Linked DNA regions of Struthio camelus. The protein of the gene in region 2 binds, or shares a complex with, the protein of the main gene of each other region. Links are inferred from orthologs where the notes say so. Each region holds a gene or a part of one and is shown on either strand. Other genes may lie near its edges. The genes, in order: LSM3, TXNL4A, LSM8 and LSM7.

What was found.
Region 1: TXNL4A (region 2) and LSM3 share a complex: the UniProt entries of both Homo sapiens proteins name them as parts of the precatalytic spliceosome. The link is inferred for Struthio camelus from reciprocal best matches to the Homo sapiens genes TXNL4A and LSM3.
Region 3: TXNL4A (region 2) and LSM8 share a complex: the UniProt entries of both Homo sapiens proteins name them as parts of the precatalytic spliceosome. The link is inferred for Struthio camelus from reciprocal best matches to the Homo sapiens genes TXNL4A and LSM8.
Region 4: TXNL4A (region 2) and LSM7 share a complex: the UniProt entries of both Homo sapiens proteins name them as parts of the precatalytic spliceosome. The link is inferred for Struthio camelus from reciprocal best matches to the Homo sapiens genes TXNL4A and LSM7.

The regions. Positions count from the first base shown.
Region 1 is NC_090955.1:9,035,147-9,042,085, reverse strand, and holds the start of LSM3 (U6 snRNA-associated Sm-like protein LSm3), read right to left. Parts: upstream 3,022-6,939; 5' UTR 2,879-3,021; coding exon 2,858-2,878; intron 1,712-2,857; coding exon 1,601-1,711; intron 459-1,600; coding exon 363-458; intron 23-362; coding exon 1-22. Other genes in the region: XPC (DNA repair protein complementing XP-C cells), read left to right, coding at 3,039-3,129, 4,453-4,663, 5,549-5,676, 6,513-6,636. UniProt on the Homo sapiens protein: Plays a role in pre-mRNA splicing as component of the U4/U6-U5 tri-snRNP complex that is involved in spliceosome assembly, and as component of the precatalytic spliceosome (spliceosome B complex).
Region 2 is NC_090943.1:94,314,410-94,321,240, forward strand, and holds the start of TXNL4A (thioredoxin-like protein 4A), read right to left. Parts: upstream 3,019-6,831; 5' UTR 2,862-3,018; exon of another isoform or gene 2,759-2,861; intron 2,748-2,758; exon of another isoform or gene 2,638-2,747; intron 2,532-2,637; 5' UTR 2,511-2,531; coding exon 2,358-2,510; intron 1-2,357. Other genes in the region: probable 2-ketogluconate reductase, read left to right, coding at 4,643-4,840. UniProt on the Homo sapiens protein: Plays a role in pre-mRNA splicing as component of the U5 snRNP and U4/U6-U5 tri-snRNP complexes that are involved in spliceosome assembly, and as component of the precatalytic spliceosome (spliceosome B complex).
Region 3 is NC_090942.1:28,358,655-28,366,645, reverse strand, and holds the start of LSM8 (LSM8 homolog, U6 small nuclear RNA associated), read left to right. Parts: upstream 1-4,985; 5' UTR 4,986-5,264; coding exon 5,265-5,295; intron 5,296-6,399; coding exon 6,400-6,440; intron 6,441-7,860; coding exon 7,861-7,988; intron 7,989-7,991. UniProt on the Homo sapiens protein: Plays a role in pre-mRNA splicing as component of the U4/U6-U5 tri-snRNP complex that is involved in spliceosome assembly, and as component of the precatalytic spliceosome (spliceosome B complex).
Region 4 is NC_090967.1:1,465,033-1,472,429, reverse strand, and holds the start of LSM7 (U6 snRNA-associated Sm-like protein LSm7), read left to right. Parts: upstream 1-4,379; 5' UTR 4,380-4,490; coding exon 4,491-4,496; intron 4,497-4,839; coding exon 4,840-4,930; intron 4,931-6,434; coding exon 6,435-6,506; intron 6,507-7,397. Other genes in the region: SPPL2B (signal peptide peptidase-like 2B), read right to left, coding at 4,190-4,249. UniProt on the Homo sapiens protein: Plays a role in pre-mRNA splicing as component of the U4/U6-U5 tri-snRNP complex that is involved in spliceosome assembly, and as component of the precatalytic spliceosome (spliceosome B complex).

The DNA.
Region 1 (6,939 bases), on a different chromosome or scaffold from region 2:
TCGGAATATTCCTTTTGGTAGACTAAGAAGAAGGAAAGAAAAGTTTACATTTACAAAAGTATAGTTGACAGAACACATCTGATAAGTATGTGACCAAATTCAATCATAAAAAACACCAGAAAACTCCAACAAAAGTAAGCTTGACTTTGCAACTTATTGGCATACTGAAGAGATCAGTACAATTAATACTAAGTCTTTGGACACTTCATACTTTCATAAGAATCTGCCTGAAACTTTTGTCAGAGCTTGGCCCAATAAGTACTAGCAATAGCCTATTTCAAACAGATAACATTGTTTAGTTTAAAAAAAAAACACCACCACCACACATCTTTCTACAAGGATAAATACACTGAACTCCTTACTTTATAAATCTCTTCATAGGTTTCTTCATCAATCTCTATTGTTGTTACAGTTTCTTCAACATCACCCAAAATCATATTTAGGTGCTGATCATATGCCTGTAGGAATGAAGCTCATTATTATTTTTACAAAGTTCAAACACAAGCTCATTAAAACGAGAATTTTGATGGAAGCGTGCCACTATGTTAAAGCAAAGTAGTATTAGTTATAGTTAAATTTTCAAATATAAAGGCAGACAAATCAGTACTCTGCAGCATGAAAAAACCCACTGCCTTTATATTCACAGAAATGCTCTTCCAGGAAATGGCTTTGAAGCTTTCAATGAGAATGCATGCAAAAACTCTGATAGATATATTTATCCTTGTCATTTATTGACATTAAACAAGCTATACATTCTTTGCCACCAATCCAGCCTCCTGGGATTGATTATCTGGGGCTAACTTAAAGCCCCACAAAAACTGAAAGCCACAACAAAAATTTTACAAAAGTGTTCCAAATACCTTCCAAAACCATATTAGAAATTACTATAACCAGATCTTCATGGATATGTCCTCATCATTGAGGTCCCAAATGAGTTGGGGCCTGGTTAATATATGGGACAACTGGTTATCTTCCCCAACACAGTAAAGTACTCAGGAAGGATGACTGGCTTAACAGAAAAAGAAAACTCTCTCATTAAGTGATACACCACTATCAGAAAAGAATGCACTTAAACAAGTCAGATTTGCAGAGGATCAAGTTGAGAACATATCCCATCGTATCCTTATTAGGCGTAGCTTAACAGTCATTTGTTTGATAATGATAATCTCATTCTTATTTCAATCTTAAATAGACCTCAATGTGCTTTACAAGAGGGCATCTGCGTCATTATGCTCATTTCATAAACATAGAAACAAAGGCCAAAAACAGTGGAATGAATTGGTCAGTGTTATCCAGAGGACTAAGAAAGAAAAAACAAATACACCTCTTGAGTCTCTAGAGCAGCATTTTATGGCAGACAGAATACTGAAAAAATTAGATTTTGCTACTGTCATCACAAAAAAAAGCTTCTGAGAAAAGAGGACCAACCTCCGTCAGTAAGACGACCTTTAACTTACTTTCTCTAACCACTTCTGCACTTTTAATCACAAGATAGTTACATGTGCTTTTAAACTAGTTATTATATAAGTTTGCCTGTAATATTATGAAGGCTGCTGTACATGAAACGAGCATTGTAGTACTGTGAAAGTGTTCTACTTACATGTAGTCTGCCTCTAAGTTCCCTGTCATTCCTCATTTTAACATAGATTCGCTCATCTAGACTGAGTCTGATGAGATCAAGTGGCTCCTCTACAGTATTTGTTGTTTGTTGCTGAAAAGTCAAATTAAAAAAGAATCATTTACACAGAAGCAGCTTGGGAACATCTCTGTTCCTCAGTATTGGTGAGAAACACAAAAGAAAGGGGTAAGAACACAAAATCAAGAACTCTGAATCATTCTTTCAAATCCCACTGTATCTTCGGGCAATTGATATTACCATTCTATGAACGTTTAGCAGCACGAACAAAATTAGCTGGCACGCTTCAACTTAGGCTGCAACAAATTGTGCTTCACAAATGCTGTCAAAAGGGCCACATGCCTTATCGGCAACCCTTGGCCGCGCTGCGGCACAAAGCCCAGCCTGCACAACTAGCTCTGAACTAGCTAGCTTAGGAGCCAGTGCCACAGCTGTGGCACCACACAGCTTAAGCTAGGAAAAGTGAACATACGCTCTCATTTCCGCCAGCGTATTGGGGTCAGCTGGGTAACGCACAGCCCCTCCTGCCCCAGCCACGCACCTCTGGCTGAGGCGCCAGCACAACGGCATCAGCTACGCCAGGCCTCACAGCGGAGTCAGAAACCTGAACGCCAGCAGGGCTGAGCCGCTCTCTCGGTGGTAAAGCTGAGCTTTCAGGACCGCAGCCGAAGCGCAGGAACACCCCCGTCTACCTTCCCTAGCACACGACCTATTGCCACCGCGGCGAAGCCTCACGAACGGCGTTTTCCTCACTTCCTCCTCCCGCGGCTCCTCAGGGAGGCCGGCCCGGCACTGGCACCGCCAGCAGCCCCCACACTCAGAGCCCCCGGCAGCAGCGCGGGGACCCCGCTATACCCCCGTATAGCTTCGCCGTAACGTCTCGGCCCGGGTGCGGCGGGCGGGCAGCGCCTCACGAAGGCTGCGCGGGGGGAGGCGCAGCCCGGGCCGGGCGCCGCGAGCCCCCACGGGCCGCCGAGCGTCAGCAGCCCGCGGGGCACTGCCGCCATTTCATGCCGGCGCCCCCCGGCCCGGGGCTGCGGCCCTACCGGGGCTGGCGGTCACGGGAACCGGCTCCCCGCGGCGGGAGAGAAGGAGGGCGCCTAGGCAATGGCGGCAGGAAGGGCCCCGCCGCCGCAACGCTCCGAGACCGGGAGCCAGAGCCGGGCCGCGGCGGGGAAGGTCTCCACGCTGCCTCCCGCGCTGAGAGAAGAAGCCGCTCACCTGGTCCACCTCATCCGCCATCTTTCAAACCGCCTCGCGCCCTCTCCCGCGAGACTTTATGGCCCTGCCCCTTCCCCTCCGACGGCGCGGGGAGGCGGGCGGCTCCGGCCGCTCCGGGCGGGGACAGCCCGTCCGCTGCCGCGGCAGCCCCTTGGGCGCTCGCCTCCGCCGCCGGGGCGCCATGGCCAGGAAACGCAAAGCTTCGTCCCGGCCGGCGGCTGCCGACAAGAGGCGGCGCGGGGGGCCGAGGGCGGCGCGGGGCGAGGCGGAGGGTGAGTGCGGGCGGCTGTGGCGGGCCTGGCTGGGCGCCGCGACATCTCTGGGAGGCGCTGAAGTCCCGCCGGGGCCTCGGGCCCCTCCGTTCCCCGGGGGGGCCGGCGCGGCCTGACCGAGCGCCCCATCCCGCCGGCTCCTTGTTGGCAAGCTGGGTTTTCTTTCAATAAAGACGGGGGAGCGTAAAGACCGGGCAGGGGGCAGCGCGGAGGGGAATCCAGCCGCTCTGTAGAGCTGAGAGGTGGCGGGGCCCTGTGAGGGGGGCCCGGCCCGGCCCGGCCCGGCCCGTCGCGGCGGGCACCGAGCCGCTCGGGGGCTCCTGCGCCCGTGCTTCGTGGCGGAGCGGGAGGCTCCAGGTGGGCTGATGCCCGCCAGATCTCCGCGACCTTCTCTGTTACCCAAACGGAGGGGATTTCAGCTCGCTCTTAGCACAGCCCTGGAGTTCAGCAGCCTCTGGTGTTGGAAAGGGTCATGAAATAAGACTAGAAGCTCTCTCAACTCGTGTTTGGTCCGTCCCTGCCGCTCGTTTGCCTACGTAGTGCGACACCGCGTTATCCCGGGCTTCTCCCACGTCCTCGCTCCGTTTGGGATATTTCCCTCTGGATTTTTCCAGAGGTGTAAAAGATCGTTTGGTGACTTCCCTGAACTGAATTAGCTTTTCTGCACAGCCCCAGAGGGGGTATGACTGAAATACATGAATTAGGGATTTAAATCAATGCACGAACTGTCCAGCAGGGCCCACACAAAGTTATCTGGAGGACGTTAAGGGTTTCACACACTGATAAAGGCTGGAAATCAGGAAGCAAGCGACCTGTTAAGGGTCTGGCTGACCTTAGTTATGACTCTTCTGTGAAAACACACCGTGCTGTAGTGTCCCCCGTGTGTCACCTGGAAGGTTGCTGTTATATTCAGTGGTCAGCGTCCCAGGAGATGCCTTAAATAAAGTTCTTCTGAGTAGCTTTACAGAATAGTTGTCTGAAGAAAATAATTTCTTACGAGTGGTAAGTAGGATGCTTGTTTTTCAGCTGCTCTCATTGGTAAGACTATAGGAATCTTTATGTATTTTTCCCACTACGTTGCTATTGTTTAGTAACTAACACTACGTTACTAACGCTACAATTATTTTCTTTTAACTGTTGTTGTTGAGTTATTCCCTATTTATTATGCAAATACTCAAATGGTATTCTTTATGAATGTTCACTTTCTTCTGTAGCTGGTAGGTGAAATTCTCCTCTAATGAACAATGTGAAGGTATTGCTCCTGACTGCAGTGGAGGTGACATTTCATCCTTTGGCATATCATCCTTTCATCCTTTCTTCTAGCTGGTGCGGATGATTTTGAAGAGAAAAAGCCCAATACAAGAAGGAAAAACTCAAAAGTTCCAGCTAGAAAGAGGGAAGAAGACTGTGGTACTGGAGTTTGCAGCTCAACAAGTAAGACTTCAAAACAAAAAGGGGTAAAATCAGTAATAAAAGAAGAAAATAAGAAAACCACTGAAAGTAAAGGGAGTCATAGTGAAGAGGAAATGTGCAGGTAAGTTCACTTACTGTTCATTTTTAGAGCCTATATGAACTCTTTATTCATGATTATATGTTTTTGTTTAGGGCCTAGTGCTGCAAATTGGTGTATGTGTAGCTTAATGTAAACAGAGTTGGCCTTGAAGAAGACGGTCTGTGGGGGAAGCAGATACGTGAGCCTTTTCAAATTCAATAGTTTAAACCTAAAATTTTTTTAATTTGTTATTCTAGTTTTTCATGGGGCTAGGGAGGTTTCATGGAACCCAGCATGTATAGAAATGTTGCGGGGAGACTTGAGTTTACAAGTATCAGCAGAAACCTTTAAACATATCATTTCCCTGTGTTTTTAGGAATCCAAATATAAGAGCAATGTGGTCTTCCCATGGAGGTTGCCATAGCAAAATTAATTAATAAGAAGACATGAAACTGATTGGTTGGTCTCATTCCACTGGCCAACTGGCCACTAATGTGTGGTGAAACAGAAACAGTTCTGATTTCAGTACACTTTGATGAAGGTTCAGTAAGAAGAAATGATTCAGTGAACTAATTCTCCAAGAACGCGTTTGTGCAAGCTGTTCTGAAGGATGGGACCTTTTGTACGTTCAGGCATCTTCCTTCTTAGAAAGCCTTGCGGAACCAGGACTTAAGTTTACACTGGAAAAAATGTTACCCCAATGAGCCCATGGTTGTTTATGGCACAGATGCTTTGCTTTACAGAGAAGGCATCTGTATTCACATACCTTCAAATATTCAAAACCTTTGTGTCTGTTGTTACTGATACAGAGGTCATGCTTCATTTATTTCCCTGTTTTTAATGTTTCTCTTTCTCTGTGTTTTTTTTTTTTTAATAAACAAGCACCCGCACTTCCCAATGCTAAAGCCATTTTAATAATTTCCATAGTGACTCACTGAAGCCACCTCAGGGGGAGAAAAATTTGAAGAGAGAATCTCCTGTTAAAAAAGAGATGGATAAAGACAATGCTGACGATGATGATGATGAAAGTGAAGATGAATGGGAGGATGTGGAAGGTAACAACCTTTTATTGCATTTTATTCATATTAGGGAGTAAATATTCTTATATGCAATTTTTTTTTGTAATTTGGTTATTCAGCCATTTCTCATTTGATTCAGGTAGGTGAGTTCTGTGTACTTAGAGTATCTTCCATGTGCATATCTGTATCTTTTAAAGCTGATATCTCACAATAATGCTAAGAATTTTTCCAAAGTAAAAAAAGACCAAAACAACCACTGACCTAATGCAGTGCCTTGCATTTGACAACCTGCTGATTATGTTAAAATGATGCAACTTCACAGCACTTTTTCAGCTGTTTGGGTTATCTAGTCCTTAGAGAAGCTAAGAATGAAACAGTTTGAAGATTCAAAACTGTGACTTCCTAGCAAGGCAGGATGGAGATGAAACCAACTGATCTGTTTGGTCAGGTGCCCCTCAACACACTGTGATGAGAACCATGATGATCATAATTTTATATTTTACTGCTATAGATTTATGCCTTCTAACAGGAAGAGCTATCCGTTTCTTCTTTTCTCCTCCGCAAGCACCCTTTAAGTCACACCTGCATCATTTTACTGGCCTTTCTCCTGTTTGGGTTTGTGACAGAGTGACTTGCCATTAGACTTTGCTGATCGGGTTCCTTAAGAGCAGAGTGACTAGCATCCCACAGCTACCTAAAACAGCTGAGCAGACTCTGCTATAGAAGATGCAAGAACTGGTAATTACTGGGGCGTTCTGTTTGTAGGTTGAGTTTGAGCAGATGATTGGGAGCGGGTAGGTTCTTATCCCATTGGCAGCCCTCCCAAGAGCATCCATTCTATGTGGATTAATTATAATATTTTATTTTTCCAGAACTCCAGGAACCTGTCATGGATAAGTTAGAAGAAGATGCTGTTGTTCCGGCAGCAGAGCTGCCAAGCAAACCAGTTGAGATAGAGATTGAAACCCCAGAGCAGGCAAAGAAAAGAGAGAGAAGGTAAGAACAGGGGAGGCTGTGAGGGGCAGTGAAAGGATGTTTAAAAGTTGAAGCTATGCCCAGTGTTAACTGTCACTGATTTGCTCTGTTCTGGGTGAAAATCCCCAAACTGTGCAGGCTGTTGACTTGGAATGATTTGAGGTAATGGGATGGAGGACAGTTTACATCCACAGAGGACTTTTCATCTGACGTTTTTATCAAAAGTCTTCAATGGAAGTTGGTGGGAATGGAGGCTTTTCAGCTTCTTTGAAAATCAGGCCCCTAACTTCATTGTGCATTAGTGTCCCCATCTCCAAACCAGGG
Region 2 (6,831 bases):
CAAGCTGAAGATGCCTAGCAGACTTGTATTACTAAACTGAAAAAGACTGCAAACACAGCAAGTACAAAGTTGAAGGTCTATTCCATCACTGTTTACTTTTTTTTTTCCTCATTCTGAATATGATATTGCAGTTTAGGTGTTAAATTTATATGTCCGAAGAGAAAGATGACATCCTGCCAAGAGCAATGCTTATGGCTAAAGAATTTGAAAACTATGGATAAGAGTAAATGGATTAGCTTTCCTCAACTTTAATTGCAAACACCAGTGACTAATACCAATGCCATTTGTACAGGCCCCTTCCCTCCTTTTTTCTCCCCCTCTTCACTTTTCCTGCAGTCTTAACAGAAAGGCAAAGAGGAACAACTGATGTTTGAGCCAATCACAGCTATTTACACTTCTGATTATCATCAAGTAAGTGCAAAATATTGGAACAATCCTCTCTAGACCAGCACTGACCCAATATAACCTATCTGTTAAAGGGACCTGGCTTCAGGAAAGGTCACCTGATTTACACTATTATGTTCTAAACAAATCATGGTCTTAAAGCACTTTCATCACAATTAAAAAACAAAAGTATTACAGAAATTTAGCAGTAAAAGCTCCACACTTCAGGGGATGAGCTTATTGTAAAGTGAAATTTTAAAAAAGTGTCTTTATAAAGAAAGTGCTCCAGAGGAATTTTGGACAACTCAGTTCTTAGATTTTTGCTTCAGCATGATTTTAACTCTTCCCTCCTCCCCCCAAAAAAGACATTCTATAGCTATGATTTATTGTGAAGCCTTGCTTCCTTCTCAAATATAACGCTGAAAAAAATAACGTAGGTTAACTCTATGTAGAGTACATATCAGAGAAAATCACCTGCTTTGTACTTCTGTATGTCGTTCTAGTTTCTCTTTCCCCAAAGGATTCAAACAAACAAAAAACTAATTTCAAAGTATAAAGTACAGAAAACATCACTGCTACCCAGAAATATGCTGCAGATTAAAAACAAAAGAAAAAACACACCATGGTACCAAATATAAAATACAGCTACATTTTCTTCAAATGTAGCATGCAATCACAGCATGTTAACATTCTGTATTATTCTCTAGTATAAACACCTGTACAATTGGAACTTTTACTCACTCTTTAAAACAGCTGCGAGATCCAAACATGGCTTGTAAGCAAGAGGATGAGGAAGGATCTCCCCCTTTAATTTGCCATTTCTGCAGAGGGAGATTTTTAAATAAGAAGTTATATTGTTCTTTCTTCCCCCAATCACCCTTAAGTGCCAATATGTCTGCCAAATTGCCAAGCATCCTGCCAAGAGCAGATACTAACAGTATCCAACTATAAAAAGCTCCCATCTTTAAATACAAAATGACTAAATTAAACTATGTCACAGCAGTCCTCACCATACCCTATTCTGTCTTAATATTTGATTACAGGTACAGATCTTTAACCTTAGGGATCTGAAAAACAGAACAGGAGCTTATTTACTTAAAAATACAATTAAAAGAGAAAGGAGTACACCAGGATCACAACTTCACTCCAAGTTATGCAATACGCACACAATTTTATACGAAGGTAGCTAACTCCTTTTCCTGCCTAAGGTTAAATATTAACACTTGTTGCTCAGATTTCTTGCTTCCTTTTCTATACGGTTCAAAGAAGAGCTGTCAACTTTCAACGTATGATGCTACACAATACCCTTACCACAGAAATGAAGAGGTAAATCATACCTGATTGTGTATGTTAACACAGACTAACTCTTCTTCAGTGTGTACGTGTCTTAAGTGACTGACCTACTGTAAGAAGGCACTATTTCCATACGAAAAAGCTTCAAAGCCTGCCTCAGTAGGTCCTAACATTTAATTCAGCCCATGCAACTCAACGGAATGGCATCCGTTTACACCAAGAACATCACTGATATGCTAATCAACATCTTCCTATACGTTTTAGGGTCTTACCATTTGTAAGTGTCAAATTAGAATAGTTTTTTAGATCCAAATGAAAACCTGCAGCTACTATGCATTCTAATTGTAAAGTGACGGTGCTGCGTTACCTAACATCATAACATTCCTACTACCCAGCGCATGTTTCTGTTTGAACGCTGGCGTTCATTAAATGAGGAATTATTAACAAGCAGCAATTCCGACTTTGGGATTTGCAGCACTCTTTTTGTCCCATTGAGCATTACAAACAGCAGGGCAGCCGATCATTTTTAGGAAACACTCACGGAAGCAAACAAAATAGCTTTGCTGCTGCCTCGAAACGCAGAAACACCTCTCCAGAAACTGAGCCGTAACCTGCCTCCGTTAGCCACCTGAAACACGGAGTACAGGAAGCGAGGGTACGACGTTACAGTTGCAGTTTACCTTCTCCGCAATGCTGTACAAGACTTCATCCATTTTCATGCAGGTCGGATCCCAGTCGTGCCCGAAGCGGATGACCACCACTCGGTCCTCCTCCGACAGGATGGCCTGGTCCACCTGCCAGCCGTTGTGCAAGTGCGGGAGCATGTACGACATCCTGAAGGGCAGGGAGCGGGCCTGCGGGACGACAGCAAGCGCCCGGCAGCTGACAAGACAGCCCGGCCTGCTCACACGCCACCCACCGCCCGGCAGAAACGCCCTCCCGCTCTCCCTCGCTGCTCACAGCTTTCCGCAGCGGCACCCCGGCAAGCCCAAGGCAGCGCGTAACGGCCGCGGCGGCGGCGCCGCCGCCATGGCGCACGTCGCCCCCACCCCCACCCCACACACCCAGCCCCTTCCAGAACCTTCGGCGCGCGGCTCGCGCCTGCCCGCACACAAGGCGCCGCGCGCCACGGAGGAGGCGCCTCCTCCTTCCCCCTCTCTCCCCACCCGCGCACCGCGCCGCACCCCTGGGGCGTCCTTCGCTCAGCGGGAAAGAGCGACCGACCAACGGCGGCGGAAAGGGCGGAAGTGACGAAATGCGTTAGCGCGACCGGGCCCGGCGCTGGAAGGGGGAGGAGTGAACAGCCCTTCCGCCCTGGTTGGGGGCGGGGCCTCCCTCCGTGGGCGGGGCCGGCCCGGCCGAAGGGAGGCCCGTTGGCGCATACCAAGTCTCAAAACTGGGGGGGGGGGGGGGAGAGGAGCAGACAGCTCGGCCCGTACCAAGCCGGAGAGAGGGGATTGAAGGGTAACCAAAATGGCCGGTGGCAGCCGGAGTGGGGGGACCCCGGTGCTTGGGGAGTCTGCCCGGGAAACTGCACTGGCCAGCTGCCGACCGTAGCCTTGCTTAGGTACCACTAGGTTCTGTCTCCTCTTGCAACCGAAAGGAGCGTCCTTGAACACCGCTCGGTAGATATTCCAGCTGAAGTGGTCCTCAGTGAAACCATGAGCTTTGCATCGCCATCGTTAGGTTTCAGAATCAAGTTGACCATTGAGGTAGGGCATCCCCGGCCAATCTTTTTTGCTTCCTGAAAAGCAAATAAATACTTTTACATGGTAACTCTCATTTAAAAGGTTAGTTTGCAGGAAATAGGGCTAAAACCATACTTTTGACTACCAAAAATCCACACAAGCTTGAGCTAGGGCATTGGCGAATCGTCCTACAGTGGTAGATGGAATTTGTATCAAATTACTTTGCCACAGAAATGCAAAGCTCTCCGGAAACCTGGATCAAAATCCTCATCTCACACAATCTCCTTTCTAGATAACTCAATTTCGGGAAAGTGAGAAAGGAGGGAAGGTTAACCCGGTCTCAGGAGAAAGCCCTCTTACTTCAGAGGGCCCCGCAGCAACGCCCGGTGACCTCCCATCTGCGGGCTAGACTCCCTCAGCGTCTCCCACTGTGTGTCACGTTTTTCAGCGGGAATATTCGCAGACTTTGAGGGAGGTTTCCTCCTGACCGAGACGTCAGGCAGCGCAAGAGTTAAGCGAACGTACACAGCAGCTGCTGGCTGAAATCTCCCCGCGAGGGTAGGAGCAGGCGCAGCGTGGAGCTGCGCGCAGGCGGAGCTGGGACAACCTTTGGACCTCGGCACCCAGACGTAACAGGGGCCCGCGACGTAAAGATCAGGAAATTGTTCACTGTTGATTCCTCGCGAAGCGGTAAGATAAGCAGAAACGCTGTTAGAAAGAAACCCATCCAGATTAATCCTTTTGTTACCACCCAAATAATCGGTTTTCTTCCACAGATAAGTTAGTGGGAGGAATTTACTCTGGGTAACTTAGGCTATTAACTTGAATTTAAAATAGAGCTAGGAAAATTTGCTGTCGTTTGGGTAAGTCTGGTGATGCAGCAGTGCCAGTCCACAAATCTGAAGGTAGTGAGTCAAGCTCCACAAAAGTAGTAGGGCTAGCCTAGAAAAACGGTGACACTGACATGAATACTTATACGCCGTTCTTTTATTTGCCTGTTTGTCCCAACCTAGGAGTTGTGCTTTCAAAGTTTTCCCTTGCAATGCTTAAGGACCTGCATATACATACCTTATTTCAATATAGATCATTATGTATGCATCCATAAATGAAAGCAGACAGTCTTATGTAAATAGAAAATGTGAGGCGTCACAGGCTTTAAGAAGAATTAAGAGAGTTCGCGATACTGCAGATGACACTAGTCCAAAACCAAAACTGTCATATCCTTAACAGGTATTACATTTAACATACTGAACAGGACATCTGATATCTGAGCAGTTATGTTCAGGGGCAGAACATATGGTCTGTTAAAATCTCTTCACTTGATGGATGGCCAGCCAAGTTTGGCTTATAAATTTCATCCAGCTATTACTTCTCATGTACATCCCTGTCAAAAGAGGAGTGTGGATTACAGACAGAGCTACAAGACAGGCCCAAGTAGTGCTGGAGGAAGAACACTCAATGCTCCTCTAACTAAGGTTAGTATCTGGAGAGACCCCTGCCCTGCACAAGATTCCTTTAAGTGTTTTTAGTTTACTGCTATCTATCTATATATATATATATTTTTTTTTAATTTCTCATTGTACTTAGTACTAAAAGAAACCCAGCCTTTGAACCAAAACCACAGTGTTTGAATGGTTCACACGCACATCAAACGTGGCTGAAATTGTGGCACATTCAGCACGTCTACCGTACTGAGAAGATGGTTTGTATGAGACTAGCCTGTTTTTAATGTATGAGCTGGTTAGTTTAAAGCTAAATCAGCCTTCACTGTGTTGCGCACTAGCTCCCCCATGAATCACCTTTTTGTTTGCAAAGTTCAGGAACTGCTTCTGAAATAAATGCGTGTTTGACTCTGACCTTCATGAGCAGTGTGTTGTAATGAAGGAGAAACTCGTGACAAAAGCAAATGATGTAATATAGTACTGCCTCCCCGGCATCTGCCAGTCAAGTGATCATATCTGGCGCTCGGTTCAGTTGCTACCCAGTCTAAATAAATTGCTGCAATATCGTCAGGTTCTGCTCATCAAGAAGTTGGACAGTGCTGCTGCAGTGTGTCATTAGCTCTTACATTTTATTCTACAGACAGTTAATTCTGGAGGATGAATTTGATTTATCCTTAAAAGGTCATATTGCATGATACTTTACAAAACACTGACTGCATGTGGGGAAATTTGCATATTTTTTCCAGCCATGTGGGGCTGGCAGAGTTCAAAATACGTCATCTGGGAAGAAATAATTAGATAGGTATTTTTCTGAAGTAGGGTATTCGGAATGAATAATGCAATATTCAGAACTGTTCAGAACCAGTTGCTGTTAATGGATAAATTGTTCATGGTGAGCTGCAGACACGCCGGTCAAGGCCCAGTCTTAACACTTAGACCCCTTCTAGCCAGTGTCCAGTAGCAGACTCGAACTGAGGCAGAAATACAGATCAAGGCCAGTATAAAGCAATAAATAAAGCAATATGACTAGCGCCGAGGTTGTAATCGTTGAAGTGATGCAGGTGAGGTAAGACTGGGTTTGCTCAGGACAAGGGGAAACACAGCTCGACAGAAACTTCTACTCTACGTTGACACCTTTTTGTTATTCGTAGTGTCTGAATGTCTGATTAATCTCTGAAGATTTGTGTGAGAAGACTGGGGCAGCAAGAAGTTTCTGCCTAGCACTGTGTGCCCAGAATTGATCAGAGTGCTGCTGCAGAATATAAGTTCTGATTCATATAGTCGTATGGCAGGTTCCCAGGACCCAGATCTAGGACACAGTATGTGACAGTCACTTAAAGTAAGTGGAATACAGCAAAGAGAACCATAGGAAATTAGACAAGAATGGTGTTAAACATGTGGTTCATCTTCAACTATTATTTTTGCCAATAAGGGCTGCAGATTTTCGCCTCTAGTTAGGTGCGTGGCTATTTGTGGAGTCCCTGTTTTAGTGCAGGGTGCGATTTATTTGCGTGGGCTTTTGCAGACAGAGCTGGGCTCAGAACTGCCTGGGCATGCAAAAGCTCTAGTCTGAAGGACTGTGTTGTCAGTGGGACTTACACTGGCATCTCTAGCACTCTTTCACCACTGTTTCGGCATATAGGTGCTGTAAAAGTACTGTTTCAGTGCTTTTAATGCTAAACTGGGGGGAGGTAAGTTCAGGCGCAGATCTTAATGTTTGAAACACTGAAGACAACCAGTGCAGCAGTTGTCTGAGGATGGCCCTTCAACATGTAAGTTAGACCTAAACCATTCCAGACGGCTGTTTGTCAGACCTCTTTGATCCCCAGTGCCTCCCTAGACTACCTGCTGCTTCCCCAACCATAATCCATAGTCAAGAAATTTTAGGTAACTTTCTAGCAACCTCTGTTATGTCATACCACTGTTTATATTTAAACAGTAATTGTGGATAAGATTGAGAACCTACCAGATCTGTATGAAATCAGTATGGATTCAGGACTACAATGAAACTAACTTGACAACTA
Region 3 (7,991 bases), on a different chromosome or scaffold from region 2:
GCATAAGAATTACTCTCAGAAGAATCAAGAAAATCAGATGCAGGGGATCTGGGGGTGTTTAGTTCTTTTCTGGAGTATTTATTGACTGATTTCTCTTCTTCAGCATCTACCACTTCATTATTCCTGGCCTTAAGTGCTATTTTTTCTTCAGCAGCAACTAGGCGATGCAATTCTTGTTGAACAGATCAAAATAGATGTTGCCCAATTTTGTGTTTTGTTAAAAGAAATTTCTTAAAGCTCCAGTTCCTGCAATCAGGTGATTATACTAGAGCTTCAGGTTTCAGGGAAGCCTGAAGAGCAGTAAGTCTTGAACCTTTCTCCATCAGTTTTGACAGGGAAATCACTAAACTTGACATACCCTGGCACTGTGGTAGTACACAGGCCTTTCTTCTTGTGAGAACTCTACAAAGATGTTTCACCCTTTAGCATGGCTGGTTCTATAAAACCTGTTTACTTCTTAATAGCTAAGGAAAGCAAAGCCCCCAGAGGCCAGCATGTTTAGGGAGATGTAAAACTGATAAACAATACGCAGTGACAGCAGCAGCAGATCACTCACTCATCCGTCCCAGCAACTTTAGGCCAGATAACAAGTTTACACCCAGTAACTGCTTACAAATACACTCTACAGCTACCATTGTGGGGTTTCCTTCCCGCCCTGCCAGACCATAATGAAGCAGGAAAGTGTGCAGAGACACTCTAGGGCATGATTAGATGGTTATATAGCCTATGGAAAGCATAACATACAGCAACCACCCACCACAATCTTAATGTAAGGAGAATCTTTACAAAAACAAAAACCTGATTTTAATTATGGGAGTAAGTATAATTATCAAGTAAGCTGTATGCTAGAAAATGTAAGAGAAAAGGAAAAGCTTTTTACACAGGTGCTTTGTTTCTTCAATTATTTGAGAGCTCTATGGCCATTACACTCATATTCAGTTACTCAGTGTGTCCTGATGGGCAACCGTGCAGCAACTGAAGGGCAGAAAAGAGCAAAAGGGTACCTAAGCTGCAGGTTTCTGATCCTGAAACCAAAGTTACATTGGCAATTATGGTCACCAGGAATATAATTTATCTGGCCTAAAATAAGTGTTAAACAGTGAAATGTCTTATGTCTGAGCTAGTCACCCTAGGCTCACTCTATAGCCAATGGAGAGACACAGACATCTTCAGTGGAAAATACATCTCTGCATATGGCAGAAAACTAATTTTTTTCTCTGTAAAGGCCTACAGTGACATGCTCAGACTTAGTTACTTAATTTCTAAAGTTAGACTCAAGGGATCTTGATGAGCTAGGGAGAAATGATGCTCAAGCCTGCTTATTCACTTCACCTTAAAGGTCACTGGATTTCTCTACTGAAAGAAACCCTGTAAATAGCAACAAGAAGCCAAGATTTCCCTCTAGTGGACAAGTAGTTTAACCACAGTTTCAGATTCTTTCTTGGTGCTCTAATAAATAGCCTAATAGATGGTGGATGTTTTTCTGCATGTGGCACAGCTTCAACAAAAGTGCAAATTCTGGTCCCACTTTATAACTTACTACTAAAGTTCACTACCGAGAGGAAGAGGTGGAAGAGATCTAATTTTCTTCAAACAGATGGGGGAATTAAATCAAGAGTTTTCCACTTCCCGAGTGGAGCATTATGTAAGAGGAAAATGGCATTAGTGGTGGTTTCAAACAGAAGACTGAACCTAAATTAAGACTTTGAAAAGAAGGGCATAGCTGCCTGCCTTCAAGGCCAGGGTGGAGAGAGCCTGAGCAGAGGAAGTGGGAATTACACTCTCAGCAGTTCCTTTGAGTGGGCTAGCTGCTGTGAAGCACCTAATGTGGCCAAGCCTGGGTACCCAACTTCAGGAACCCAGATCTAAGCCTTATTTTTCAAGTCTTAGTCCTTCTTTTACAAAATAAGAAAAATATGCCTTCTGTGTTCTTCAGAGACACTGCTAAAATAAAGAGATAAACTAGATTCTTAGGGGATCAGATATTGAGGTAATTTGGGCATGAAAGTATTTAAGATTTTATCCTACATCCTTGTATCCTACTCTCATATTTTTGGTCTTTGAAAATGTCTATAGTGAAGAACAAAAGCAGGAAAAGGAGAAAGAAAATGTAACACCACAGAAATTAATCTTCGGCCTCTTAAATGTAATACATAGTAATTACTTCCAACCCTGGCATAAGGTTCAGCGGCAATTAAGCTTTTTAAAATAAGAGCTTGAGAGGGCAGGCATTATGCAATGCTCAGCTGCAAAAGTATTTCATGTTCTCTGATATCTCTTGTCATGGTTTTGATAATGCCTGAGACATCAGGCAAATTCCTGAGAAACTGGCTTGGTGCAGTTACCTTCAGAGGTTCCAGGAGGTGTTCATCCATTTTTTTCTGGCTAATTGGCCTTAAAAACCTTTGTTTTGCTTCCTTTAAAGTAGCTGTGAAGATAATAAATGAAATAATCAGCATTCTACTGAAAACGGTATTCCCTAGATTAACTTCAACAGGAGTTAGACATAGAGTTACAATACGCACCTCTTGCTAATCTGTCACCAAAGTCTTCATTGAAATAAAAGCAAGTAGGAAGATCTGAACTCAGAGTAGCATGTGTGTAGCAAATTGAAAAAAAGAATCACAAAGTACTTTTACAGTTGAAAGGCAAATACACAGAAATTATGGAATGCAGAACTGAGATGTTTGAGGCAGCCTTAATTTGGCCTAGTTTGTTTCTGCATCTTCTGCTACATTATCTGAGACTCTTTCTCTACAGGCCTCAATCAGTCAGCGAGAACAAAAGATGATACCTGATCTGTGTCTAGTTACTTGGTGTTTCTTTGGCAGAATTGGGAATGAAGTGGACAATTCAAATTTTCAGTTCGTGTTTTAAATGCCCGATCATTTTTTCTAGGTATGAAAAGATACAGCCTTTCATAGATGAAGACTTAGGAAATTTACATGTGAAACCCCCAGACAGCAAGATAATCACTTTCTTCATGAAGTTAATTTCTTCATGTTTCTTCAAAATATTATTTGGAAGAGTTTTCTCCTACAAATGTCTATGCAGTGCTTCCAGGGAATCTAATCTCCTGATGATAGGCAGCTTGAATGTTATTTTAAATAACTTTATGAAGGCCATCACAATCACTATTCTCACCAATAGACTGGAAAACTGGGACAGAGATGAAATTACTGTCTCAGTGTTATCTAAAAACTCATTGACAGAATAGGGAAGGGAATTCCATATTCTGAGTCCCAAGACAGTATTTTGTCTACTGAAGGTCATGAATTTACAACTTATATTTTTCTAGTTCAGAATGTATGCAGCTGCATTTCATGATACGCTAGATGAAAAACAGCCCACTATTGGTTTTTCCACTTTGAAAGAACTTTTCTCATACAGTGTTACATCTGAAAAGCTAAGTAGTCAGTGCAATAGCCAGTGAATACTGTCTACAACCAAAAGCAGGCAGAAGAAAATACGTTTTAAAGTGTTATAACAAAGACTACTTGTGCAGTGGTGCTGAAACAGGGGCATTTACTTCACATTTCAGAGAATTTGTTAAGTATACTATTTATACTCTGGGAACTGTCAGGAGGTTATACCTGTGCACTATTTTGGATACACACACACACAAAGAACGGTTTAGGTTGGAAGGGACCTCTGGAGATCATCTAGTCCAACCTCCCTGCTCAAGCAGGGTCCTCTAGAGCATATTTCCCAGGGTCAAAACCCACCAACAGACTGCTGTATTATCAAATAGCATTAGAGGGATTCATTCATGACAACTTTTTATATATGAAAATGCAGCCGATGTCTGCATGTACAACATATTGCAAAATATTTCTGAAAGTCTGCTACATACTAACAATGGTTGTACTATCCACCACAGGGAAGAAGGGCTAAAACAAATGACAGGGAATCAGTTTTACAGCTTAAATTAGTTGTTACTGAATGTCTTGACTTAAATTTGCTGAGACATTTCCTCTATGCAGGCTCCCAACATTCTTGCAAATGTTCTTCCAGTGTCATCAAGTCCAGCAGATTTAATATACTCCTCTATTTCACAGGACTTTTGAATAGGCTGAGGAAACAGAGTACAGTAACTAAGACTGACCAAGAAGCATGGAAGGCAGTTATAATCAGGCTGAAGTGAGAAGAAATAACCTGCCAGCAGAAGAGAAGGGAAGAACGCTAGTGAAAGTTAAAGCTATACAAGAGCCAAATGGTATGAGTACTTGAAGATACTGGCATTTGTCATTCCCAGGTTTACAGATTAGGATGAAAGGAAATTACCACAAAATCCAACCTCATGCATAAACATCACCATTTACTTGACCTTTGCACACCTTTTCAAAACATGTACAATTTTGCATGGATGGAGAAATCCTAACTACTGTATCTCTTCAAAAAAGTAGCACAACCCTCCGCTTATGAGAGACATGGCCAAACAGGGCCGGGCTCACACAGACTGCAGTTTGGTGCCATGCCCGTTTCACCATGGGATCTGGGCACAGCAACCCTCCCTTTGTCAAGCCTCCCACCTCCACCGCACCCAGGGATCCACCGTTTCCTTTGAAAACACCGCTGGAGAGGACTTCGCAGGCAACACTGCCTGCCACGGTAGCCCCGGACGGCCACCCCCCACCGCAGGCAGCCAGCCCCGACGGGCAACACGCCGCCATCCCGCCCACCCCACAGCGGCAGCCCTCAGAGAGGAGAGGGGGCGACACTCCGTCACCCTCCTACGTTTTAGGAGGGAAACCTGGCTCCCGTGTTAGCAAGAGAGATACTATTCCCAGGCAGTCAGCCCGCAAGCCGGGCACGCAAACGGCCCCTCCACCGCCCACTGCAGCCACTCCGCAGCCGCGGGCCGAGGCAGGAGCCGGCAAAGGAATGAGCCGCTGCGCCTGCGCCTCCTGCCCCCCGCCCCTCCGTCATCGTTACTTGGTACAGCCCACGCGGACCTCCCCGTCCCCCCCCCCCCTCCCCGCGCCTCTCAGCACATGCGCACCTACGAAAGCTCCGCGCACCGATGCGACGCGAGCGCGGGAAACAGTCGCGCCATTTGAAATGTGCCCCTTCGCCGCGCCGCGCATGCGCACCGGCTGAAGCGGCCTTTCGGCCCTCCTCCTGGTCCTCTGCGGGCCTTGCGCGCCTGCGCGCGGGGTCGCGCGTCAGCGGCAGGCGCCGCCAGTCTCGCGGCCGCTGTCTCGCGGGAGGTGGCCGCCGGCGCGAGGTGAAGCGAAGCGAAGCGAAGCGCGGGAGCCGCCGCCATGACCTCGGCGTTGGAGAATTACATCAACCGTATCCTTGTGCCGCGCGGGGAGACGGGCCCTGCCTTGCCTCGCCTCGCCTTGCCTTGCCTCGCCTCGCCTCGCCTTGCCGCTGGCGCGCGCGGGAGGCCGATCGCCGGGCGGGGGGATCGGGGCCCAGGGCCAGGGCCCGGCGCGGCGTTGGGCGCTGGAGGTGCTGCGGGCGGCAGGTGCCTGCGGCGCGGCAGAGTGCGGCCTGCGAGCTGTTGCCCAGCCCTGGGCAGGCACCTGGGAAAAGGCCGGGGCTTCTGGCCTCCTCGGGGCCGCTCCCGCGGGAGGCAGCGTTGCCTGGGGCCTTCCCCGCTGGCTCGGTTTGTCTTTCCGTGGGGCTGGCTCGGAGGCTGGCAGGGAGCGAGAGAACAGCGCTGCCTCTGGTGCTGCGGCAGGGTTACCCCAGGGCTGCGCGCTCAGACCTTGCCGATACTACTGTGAAGAGGCAGACACAGCGGACCCGGGCTCTTAACATCTATTTAGCCGTCAGCTTTACGCCGTTCACTCAAAAGCTGGGAGCTGGTGGTCTTGGAACCCTTTTCTTGCGAAGTTTCGGTACTCTTAGCGACCTATGGCTAATTTCGGTTAATTCACAAATGCAGAGGTCCTAGCCCATAGTCAGTCAGGTCGATGGAAATGTGATCATTAAATTGGGGTAGTCAGAGCCTCAGAGTGAGGGGAGGTAGAATGCCAGACTCAGGGTCCCCACCGCTAAGCTGTTTTTAAGGACACAGCTCGAAGTGGCAGTCCATCGTGTTTATAAAACAGTTTGTTACACACTTGCTATCTGATAGTCTGCTGCTTTGCCTTGGAGCAGTACACTGTGTAATGGGAAGAGCAGTGGAATTCTGATGTGTAGTGTGCTTTTAATGATGATCGTGTTTGCTTATGGCTCCGTGGTCAGGCTAAAGCGAAATTTTGGTGCTGACTGGTGTAATAAAAAAGAGAGCTTGTCTGTTGTCAAATGTTGCTGTTAACAATGCTGCTTGTCTTTTGTTCTTAAAGGCTTTTCTAGTTCCTAATAAAGTTTACGTTATCACTGCTTCAGAAAGTTATAGTGGTTCTGTTTCAGATGTCTCAAAGCATTTCCTTAATGAACTATCAGGTACTGTTGCAGTAATTACTTCTGATGGAAGAATGATTGTGGTGAGACTTGTACTTTTACACATCTTTTGCTACCATAAAGACTCTTCCATGGGAATAAAGAAACAATGCTGAAGCATACACACTTAAATGTTCACGCCTTTACAAACTTTCTTTTTTAAGCTTTATCACCGGTATTTTGTATTGCATGATTTAAACAGGTACTGGTTGTTGCCTGTGAGCTTTGCCCTTTGATAAATTCATACATGCAAATGCTTTGTTTTGACTCTTTGTAAATGGCTTTTTCTATAGAAACGGATAAGAGAATGCATTTCTTTTTCACTTCAGTGCACCCTTTCTTCAGTAAGCTCTCTACCTTAACTTTCATGTTAAAAACATTTCTTCCATAAGCTTACAGAAAAAACATAGTTGATAACTAAGAACTTATTGTGGAATTCTGTTTAAATCGGAAAAGCCGAGGACTGACAACTCTGTGTTAGACTGTATAATGTTTTATTTTTATTGCTTCACTGTTCTTTATTTTCACATGGTTCTCTTTTTTTCCCCCCTCTCTGATATTCTTTTATGTTTTGAGTTTAACTTAATGATATGATCATTGCATGAGGATTATATGTTCCTGTCCATATGTATACAGTTTAGTGTGGCTTCTGGAAGGAGAAAACATTAAAAAATAAAGCTAGGAAGTTTGTATTTTCAGCAGAAATATCTTAGCTTTGGACAATTCTCTGTCTTGTTGGAGCCAGTCTGGGAAACTTTGGTTGTGATGCAGGATACCTTTCTACCACAAAGATTTAAATTGAATTGGTATATATGAATTGTTGTCACACAGTTAGATGGTATAAATGGTTATTATTACTGTTTAAGTGATAGTATCTTGTGTAAATTTAAATTTCTTAATTGATTTGTGGAATTTAGCAATTGATTATGTTATCTTTTTTTTTTTTTCTAAATTCATACTGAAGTGGTACAGAAATTCTTCCTCTGGAGCTTTTTTGTGGGAAAAAAATTGAGATTCCTTTACAGAATCACCAATTAAAATTGCTCCTTAAAATGATCTCAGCGCTGTTGAATATAAAAATCTAATTTTTCTGTTCTTTGATTTTTTTTTTTCTTTCCTGAAATTTCCATACAAGAAAGACTAAAATACTGTAGAAATAATAACATTAACTGTCTAGAGAGCTGTCATGGGGACAGGGGCAACTGCTTTTCTTCTAATGTTAAAGATTACAGTAGCTGTTAGTATGAATACTCAGTAGTAAATATTAGATATTCTTCTTAAATTGATTATTGCTTTTAAAATTTTGTTCTCCATCTGTATGTATGTAAGCTTAGAAATAAAACTGAAATAAAGCATCTGTTCTGTAGTACCTTAGCGCCACTTTACTTTTTAAGATACCCTTGAGAGCAAAGATGATAAATTTAAAAGGTTATTGAAGTGCTTACTTTTTGTGTGCTTTTTCAGGGAACCCTCAAAGGTTTTGATCAGACCATTAATTTGATTTTGGATGAAAGCCATGAACGAGTGTTCAGTTCTTCACAAGGAGTTGAACAGGTTGTACTAGGATTATACATTGTAAGAGGTGATAATGTGTA
Region 4 (7,397 bases), on a different chromosome or scaffold from region 2:
CAATATTTATATTTAAAGACTCTTACTAATCAGGCACCCATATTCAATAGCAGTGCCATGTCACAAGTAAGATCTCTGCAAAGCTGGAAATTTGCTAGAATCATAATTAACAAGTGAGGTGTTTTTACATGACACTGCAAAACTAGGAAAGGGCTTTCACATAACAAAAGCATAAAGTCTGAGGGTGTAACTACACAGGCAACTAAGCCAGTCTGTTTGCAGCCATTAGAAGGGCACACTTACTTGCTCTGATCCTCATCAGACCCTTCCATGGCCTATTTAACACATTAAGAGAGCAAACCACTTTTTTCCTGAGTTAGTTTTTTGTCATGTTGGTGAGTTAATGGAATTTGGACAAACGCTAGGGCTCACAAATTAAGTAATGGAAGAAGTGAAGAAGGTGGCAAAGAGAAATTTAGCACATCTGCATTTCATGGAATTGTGACATGAAAGGCTGAGCAAACCTCATGGCTCACTCTTGCCATTTGTTCCTCCCTCCCTTAATCTCCAGACTCATCTGGGCACCTCAGACACACTTGTTCCACCTGTGATACTTGCTAGATCACTATGAGCTGACTGAGCTCACTATCAGTTTTTCATGCCAGGCTACTGCTAGTTGCAATTACATTAACTCTATCATTTCAGAGAGACCTGACAAGCAAGAGTTGGCACACAGGTAGTAATGGGAGCAAAGAGCTGGGAAATGAGTATGAACAATCTCACCTTTCCAGTGGCATTGGCTCAGGGAACTACAGCCTAAGGCTAATGTTTTAAGGCAGAAGACAACGACATCGCTACCAGCAGCACCAGCCCTTTCCTGCCTACTGTAAAGTATTTCTTCTCACGTGATACCCCTCTTTGTGCAAATAGAGTTGTGCATCTACAGTGACTTGGATCATTGAATTGATTCCACTGAAAAATAACACATTTATTCATAAATACTTATTTTTTCAGTGTTTGTCAGCTGTATTAATTCTCTGATCCAGTTCACCACAGAACTGCAGTATTGGCTTACTGTTCAACAAATTTTAGCTCAAGTTGAGCCCTACAGAACAAGAAAAAAGCCACCTTCTCCTGCTGTGCAGTGGAGTGATTCAACTTACAGGTACCTATAGAAACCTTTGCACATCTACAGTAAGAGGAAAGAGGCAAGACAGGAACAGATATAAACTGTATACCTTTAAGGCATGACATTGTACAGTAAAGGGATAAGAGATCATTAGAAGGAGCAATTTACACTGTAAGGAGGTCACATGAATCTGAGTATACACAGAGAAGTTGTATCACTAATTAGGATTACAAATTTGTATGGCAATAGTGGGAGGAGAGAAGACAGTGCTTTATGACCACAATCCTCCAGTCTGAACAACTGAGGATACAGTCCTAGTAGATGCTGGTTTCAGCAGCAAAGCTGGCAGAAATAGTTGCCTATTCACAACCCTCTCCCTGAGTTCATAGTCATCTCAGTTGTGTCAACACAGCTGTCTGGGGAGCTGGTCTTAAGTCAAGTCCTTTTAATAAACAAGAATTAAAAATAATCCTCAAAAAGTTTAACTGTGTCACTCCAATCATGCAGTTTCTAGCACAATCTGGGTGAACAGTGATGCTGACACAAGAATGATGTACACTATAGCACAGGAAAAGAAAAATTATTACCTTGGAGACACTGGTTCACAGAATTACACCATAAGCAGCAGCTTCCTCTGCACAAAGATAAACAGAGAATGAAGTGCTGTTTGCGATTCAGGCAGTCCCAACAACCAAGAGAAATCCCATACTACATGGCAATTACCCACAAGGACTGGGAATGACCCATAGCTCTGACAGCTGAAAAGCACATGGAGAAAAATCCAGGGAAAACACAACACAATTTCCAGGTTGCTATTGACTTGTATTTTTTCCCCTCTTTTTGCAACTTAGAGTAATTTGTTTCTAATTCTTTAATTTTTTTCCCTTATTAGAATATACTGCATGTACAGCTTTTCCTCAACTTCATCAATGGATAAAATTGTCTTAGAGATTTAAGAGACACTATTGCTTCTTCAGGGAATATAGCTCCTCCTCCCCCCTCCTTCCAAAAAAAAAAAAAAAAAAAAGATATAATGAGCTATGCCTACTCTTACAGCGGAAACCATGCAAGACAAATAGTGGAGTTACCAGGAGGTGGGGTGCGTTCCTTCCCCTGTGAGCTGCATAATCAACGCAATGACTATCAATAGCAGACAACAAATTTGCAGACAAAGACAATACTCCTTTAACAGGCACTGTACAGTGGGAAGAGAGTTCGTAATTGACACTATTCATAATGTGACAGTTTCATGTGATTAAGTTGTCAGCCATCTTAATCTAGAACTTCAGGAAGTCTCTTGGACCTACTGGACCTGCATCACAGAACACTGATTTTACAAAACAGAAACCACGACCTCAATTCAATATTCTACCAAAAGCTAGTAAAATAATGGCAGCTAGCTAATGGCAGTGAGCTAACATGCTCACTGTAGATTGTGTTATATATTCTGCATTAGTCAAAGGTTCCTATACCTCATTATTGTTACAGAGCAACCAAGAGATGGCAAAACCATGAAGGAAAGGTGAGAATGACAGGAAATTAAATGAAAAGTGAGGACTCAGATGCCAAAACAAGATCTCTAGGTGTAGATTGTACTTGGATCTCTAAGATCGCACCCCTCTTCTGCTGCTTCCAGATGAGGATCTATATTTAGGAGAACCATACTTCACTAGCCAGCCTGCTCCTTCTCCCTACTTAATTCAGTTCAGAAGCAAACCTGGACCATCTTCTGAAAAAGGCCATCCCACCTCTCAGTAGGGAGAGGAAGAAAGATATACTCCCAATACACCAAACAGACAGTACTACTTATATTCGAAGAAGTTGTAAATGAGCTAGCTTGGGTAGCAGAAATACATTAGCAGCATATAGTAAGTTAACTCTTTGCTGCTGCAGCATGACTGTTTCAGTATTCCAGCTGACTTGTTCAAAGCTTGCTCAACCATGCTTACACTACTTTGCTGCACAAACATACTAAATGACTTGCTTACAGAAAGGAAGCAAGCTGCAGTGCATGGAATTGAAGCCAAGACCTTCAAGTGTCAGGGCTCAACCACTGGACTATCCTACCTGCTATCTTTCCACACTCTCATGGGGGTCACCCTTTCAAAATTGATGGAAAAAAATGACTCCATGCCAGTCCTTGACCCATTCTTACATCTTCTCTCATATTAATTTGAGGGCTCCAGGCTGGCAGCACTAGTCTAGTTGAAGGATTATTAGAGACACCAACAGTGTGCAGGACAGGCAAGCACAGAGGAAGGGAGCAGGTGATGCACAGAAAAAGAACTTAGCTGGCAGTCTGCCCATTATGCAAGTAAACATCACTGGCAAGGAATCAGTATGCATGTTTGGGGGTGGTGGTGGGGAGATTTTTAAAGAAATTTTAAAATTTTTGCTTGTTCCTGTAAGACCCTTGGAAATACAGTTTATCCCACAAAAGGTATCAGTTCAGATGAGGAACAAGAAGACAAAAATCAAGACAGTCTATAACTTCAGGTTCAGCAGAAACCTTGCTTTACTTTACAACAGCTGCTTTCTCAGAGGCAGTTTGTTGCTTGGGATGAACTCAAAGCCAAGAGCCTTCCCTGCTGCAGTGACCCTGATCCCAGCCCCATCCAGTGGCTTAGGCACACTTCCCAAAGGACCACCTGGAGAAGACTGCTAGCAGCACAGGGAACCGATGTTGCAAGAGCTACGACAAATATTTTGCTAACCACAGGAAAAGAGATTAAGAAACACGTAAATCGGGGAAGACACAAAACACAAACCTGAGCCCGGTTTGGGGTAAAAACGATGCTTTCTTCTTTCGTCCAGCAAGAAAATACTGTAAGTCGGTCATTAACACCCGGGAGGCGGCTCCGGAACCGCGCTCCCACTACGGGAGCACGGCTGCGGCCCCCTCATACCACTGGGGCCGTCCTTCCGGCTCAGCGGAGGCCGGGTACCAGCCCCCCCAAGTCCCCGCAGCCCCAACGGGCTCTTGGGATCTGTCCTGCACCAGAGCCAGGCTTTGCCCCACGCCCAGTCTCTGCCCGGTTGCTGCTCCGTCCCGGTAGGGTTCGCCGGGCCCCGCAGAGAGAGCGGGCCCAGAGTATTCCTCGGAACGGCACAGCCACTCACCTGCGCAATGAAAAGCAGGAGAAGCGAGGCCCGGAGCCAGGCCTGCCGTACTGCCGCCATGCCGGGCCCGCCGCGCCGCCGCCCGCTTTTGTTTCCGACGGGGCCGGGCCGGGCCGGGCCGAGCCCCCTTCCGCACCAGGTAACACGGCAACCCGCTCCGGAAGTCCCGCCCCACGCCTGCTGGAGGAGCGAGTCGCCCTTGTGGACAGCCAATGAAATGGCCTGTGGTGTTGACGTTGCTTCTGGCAGCAGCGAATGAAATGGCAAGCGGCGGGGAGAGGACAGTGGCGGCGCGAGCAAGATGGCGGTAAGCTGTTGGCGGGGGCTGCGGGGCTCGTGCTCGCCTAGGGAGCAGTCACGCGGAGGTGGCGTCTGGGCTCGTCACCGTCTTTCCGTGGCTGCGGCCGCTGCAGGGCGACGAGCGGGGCCGTGTAGTTGCGGTCTCCCAGCCTTGGGAGATGCCCGGGCCCGGCTGCCCCGTGCTGCCCGCGCGCGGAGGGTCGCTGTGCCTTTTCGCCGTTTCCCCCGCTCCGCCTTCGCTTTTAGCTCTGTGTTGGGGGAGGTTTGCCTTAGTGGTATGGTTCCCCACCCGGGGTCTGTGTGCGTGCAGAGATGTTTTAATTTAGCTTGTTTTTGGTCAACTTCCTTAGGATAAGGAGAAAAAGAAGAAGGAGAGTATTTTGGACCTCTCCAAATACATTGACAAAACAATCCGAGTGAAGTTCCAAGGTGGGAGAGAAGGTGAGCCTACGGGCAGCACTTGGCTGGTAGTGAGGCACGTGAATTTGCAGCATACTTTGCATCTTGGCTTTTTTCCTCCTCTTCTGTGTCAACTTTTGTCTCCTATGTGATCATATTGCCTTCATTCAAGAAAAGATGAGTAATGGATTCTTTTCTTTGTTGCTATTTGCTGTTACAGGTATGAAGCTTCTTATTGTGTTTTGCCTTTAATCTTTCCAGTAGCCCCCATCACTGTTATTTTATCTTTGTGTTTCATCCTCTTTGTGTCCTTTTCTCATCATCTTCCATTGGTTTTCTTAAAGTATCTTTTTGGCTGTTTTTGGTGGGGGTTGTTTATTTGTTTGTTTTTATTGCAAGGATGCACTTAAAGCACAAAAGAAACAAAGCTTCAGAGCAACACATCTGTCTTCCCTTTCATCTGTTAACTTCCTGAATGTGCTGCCTGTTGTTTTGAATTCCTAGATTATTCTAACATGTTTTACAAGATCTTTTCGTCACTTTCAAGGCTCTTGTATCCTCCCCTTTCATCCGTCCTTGCTCTGCTAGCATATATCCATCACTAAGCAGCTGATAGTGCCATCTGCAGACACTTGTTCGTCTGACAGTTCACATGCTGTGTGGAAGTGCTCTGCGTAAGCTTTTGCAAGGCTAGCTGAGTTTGTTTTAAAATACCATTTTCAAACTCCCAGTTGCTCTGGATGCTTACTAGTTTTGAAAGTTACTAGGAATCTTTGATCAGTGGGTTTTTTGTATTTTTGGGGGCAATTGACAATTCTATTAGTTCTATTGGTTTAGATTTTCTTATCAAAAAATTTGCTCCAAGTTTCTTTCTGTTTTTTTAAATAGGATTATGGGAGTCATATCTTTTGGTTTAGTGTCTTAGCAATGATCGTAATGCTGGTAATCAATAGATGTTTTCAAGATGGAAAGTTATTCTGTGCAGTCCTGCAGTTTCTTTACTGACCAGTCTTGTAGATTCGTATTTGGTTTCCTGCCAAAGTGCTTGGCTCTGTGCAATGTATCCCTATAAAAGCAATACTTATGTTGAAAAGATTACAATTCAGGACGGAAGACAGGACACCTGGAAGATGGGTCACCTGAGGAAAACACTTAAATATTATCCTCTTGGTTCATTTTCCCATTCATCTTCCTTAAGAGCTTTTTTTAATGATATAAATTGTGTTGATTTGTATGCTGAGGTATTCTTAAAATGCCCCTGAAATTGACTGATAACAAAAATGTAAAAGTTTTGAAGAACATTTTGAAGAACTGGCTGAAAAACCTGAAGGCTTCCATTGACACAACACAGACCGGTTTCAGCTTGTGCTTTTACATTTGCATTGTGATAAAGAGGGCACTATTTAATATCTCTGGCTTGGCTTGTTTGATAGCCTTGCTTGAGGGAGGAGGGCCTGGAACTGGAGAACTGAGTCCTGTGTTGCCACAGTCCTATTTTTTGGCAGGGGGTGTCTCTAATCGTTCCTTTCTGTGTGGTCTTTAATAGCTAGCGGAGTCTTGAAAGGATTTGACCCTCTTCTGAACCTTGTGCTTGATGGTACCATTGAATATATGAGAGGTAAGTAACATGCGATTTGTGTTTTTTAAAAAAAAAAATCTTCCCCCCTGCCCCCAAATATTTCGCTTGATAAAAAACATTCTGTTCTGTGAGTTGAATAACCAGAAACTGCAGCTTGAGATCATCCAAAGTGAGATTTGTTCACAGTTAACTATGCTTAAAGGAAGGGTTAAGATAACAGAGGTTAGGTTAAGGGGCATTGCTTGTGGTAGAGGATTCTTATTAGTCCTTTTTGACCTCCCCTATAACCCATCTGGTCCTTGTTGTCCTCCAGCACTTGAATGAAGTAGCTTCTGTCCTCTTAAATGAGGCCGTTGCCTTTCACTTTGTGTATACCATTGGAGGAGGCCAGTTCACACACAGCATGAAAAAAAACTCAGTAAAAATTGGTATCTTACTGTCTTAAACTGTTCTGTTAGTGCGATCTTTGCATTTCTGTGGAACTAAAGCCTTCTATAACCTCTTAAGGCTAGCACAGCTGTGATTTTTAGTTTTATTTTCCCCTGCAAGCACAAATGTTCCTCTTCCCCTTTTTGCTCCCTTAAATGAAAGCGTCTTCTCATGTTAGGGGGCAATCTGTTTTCTAGAGTGTTCCCTTGCCTGTTTGCAAGGAAGCATCTCAAAGTTTAATTTTGTTCTTAGGAGGGAATTTTGAAAGATGAGCTTAGTGCCTTTTTACAAAATATTTTGACATCTTAAGGAGTGTAGAATTGGCTCTTGCTGTGTTAAGAATGTTCATCTGTCTGTCCCCATCCATTGTCTCGCTTGATTCAGTCTGGGCACAGACGAACAAGGAATTTGTTTAGTGCGTTCTGTAGTCAGGGTCTTTGTCTGATTTGCATTGATGCCCAAATGTTTGTCTGAAAGGGTATTTGGAATGGGAATAGGAGA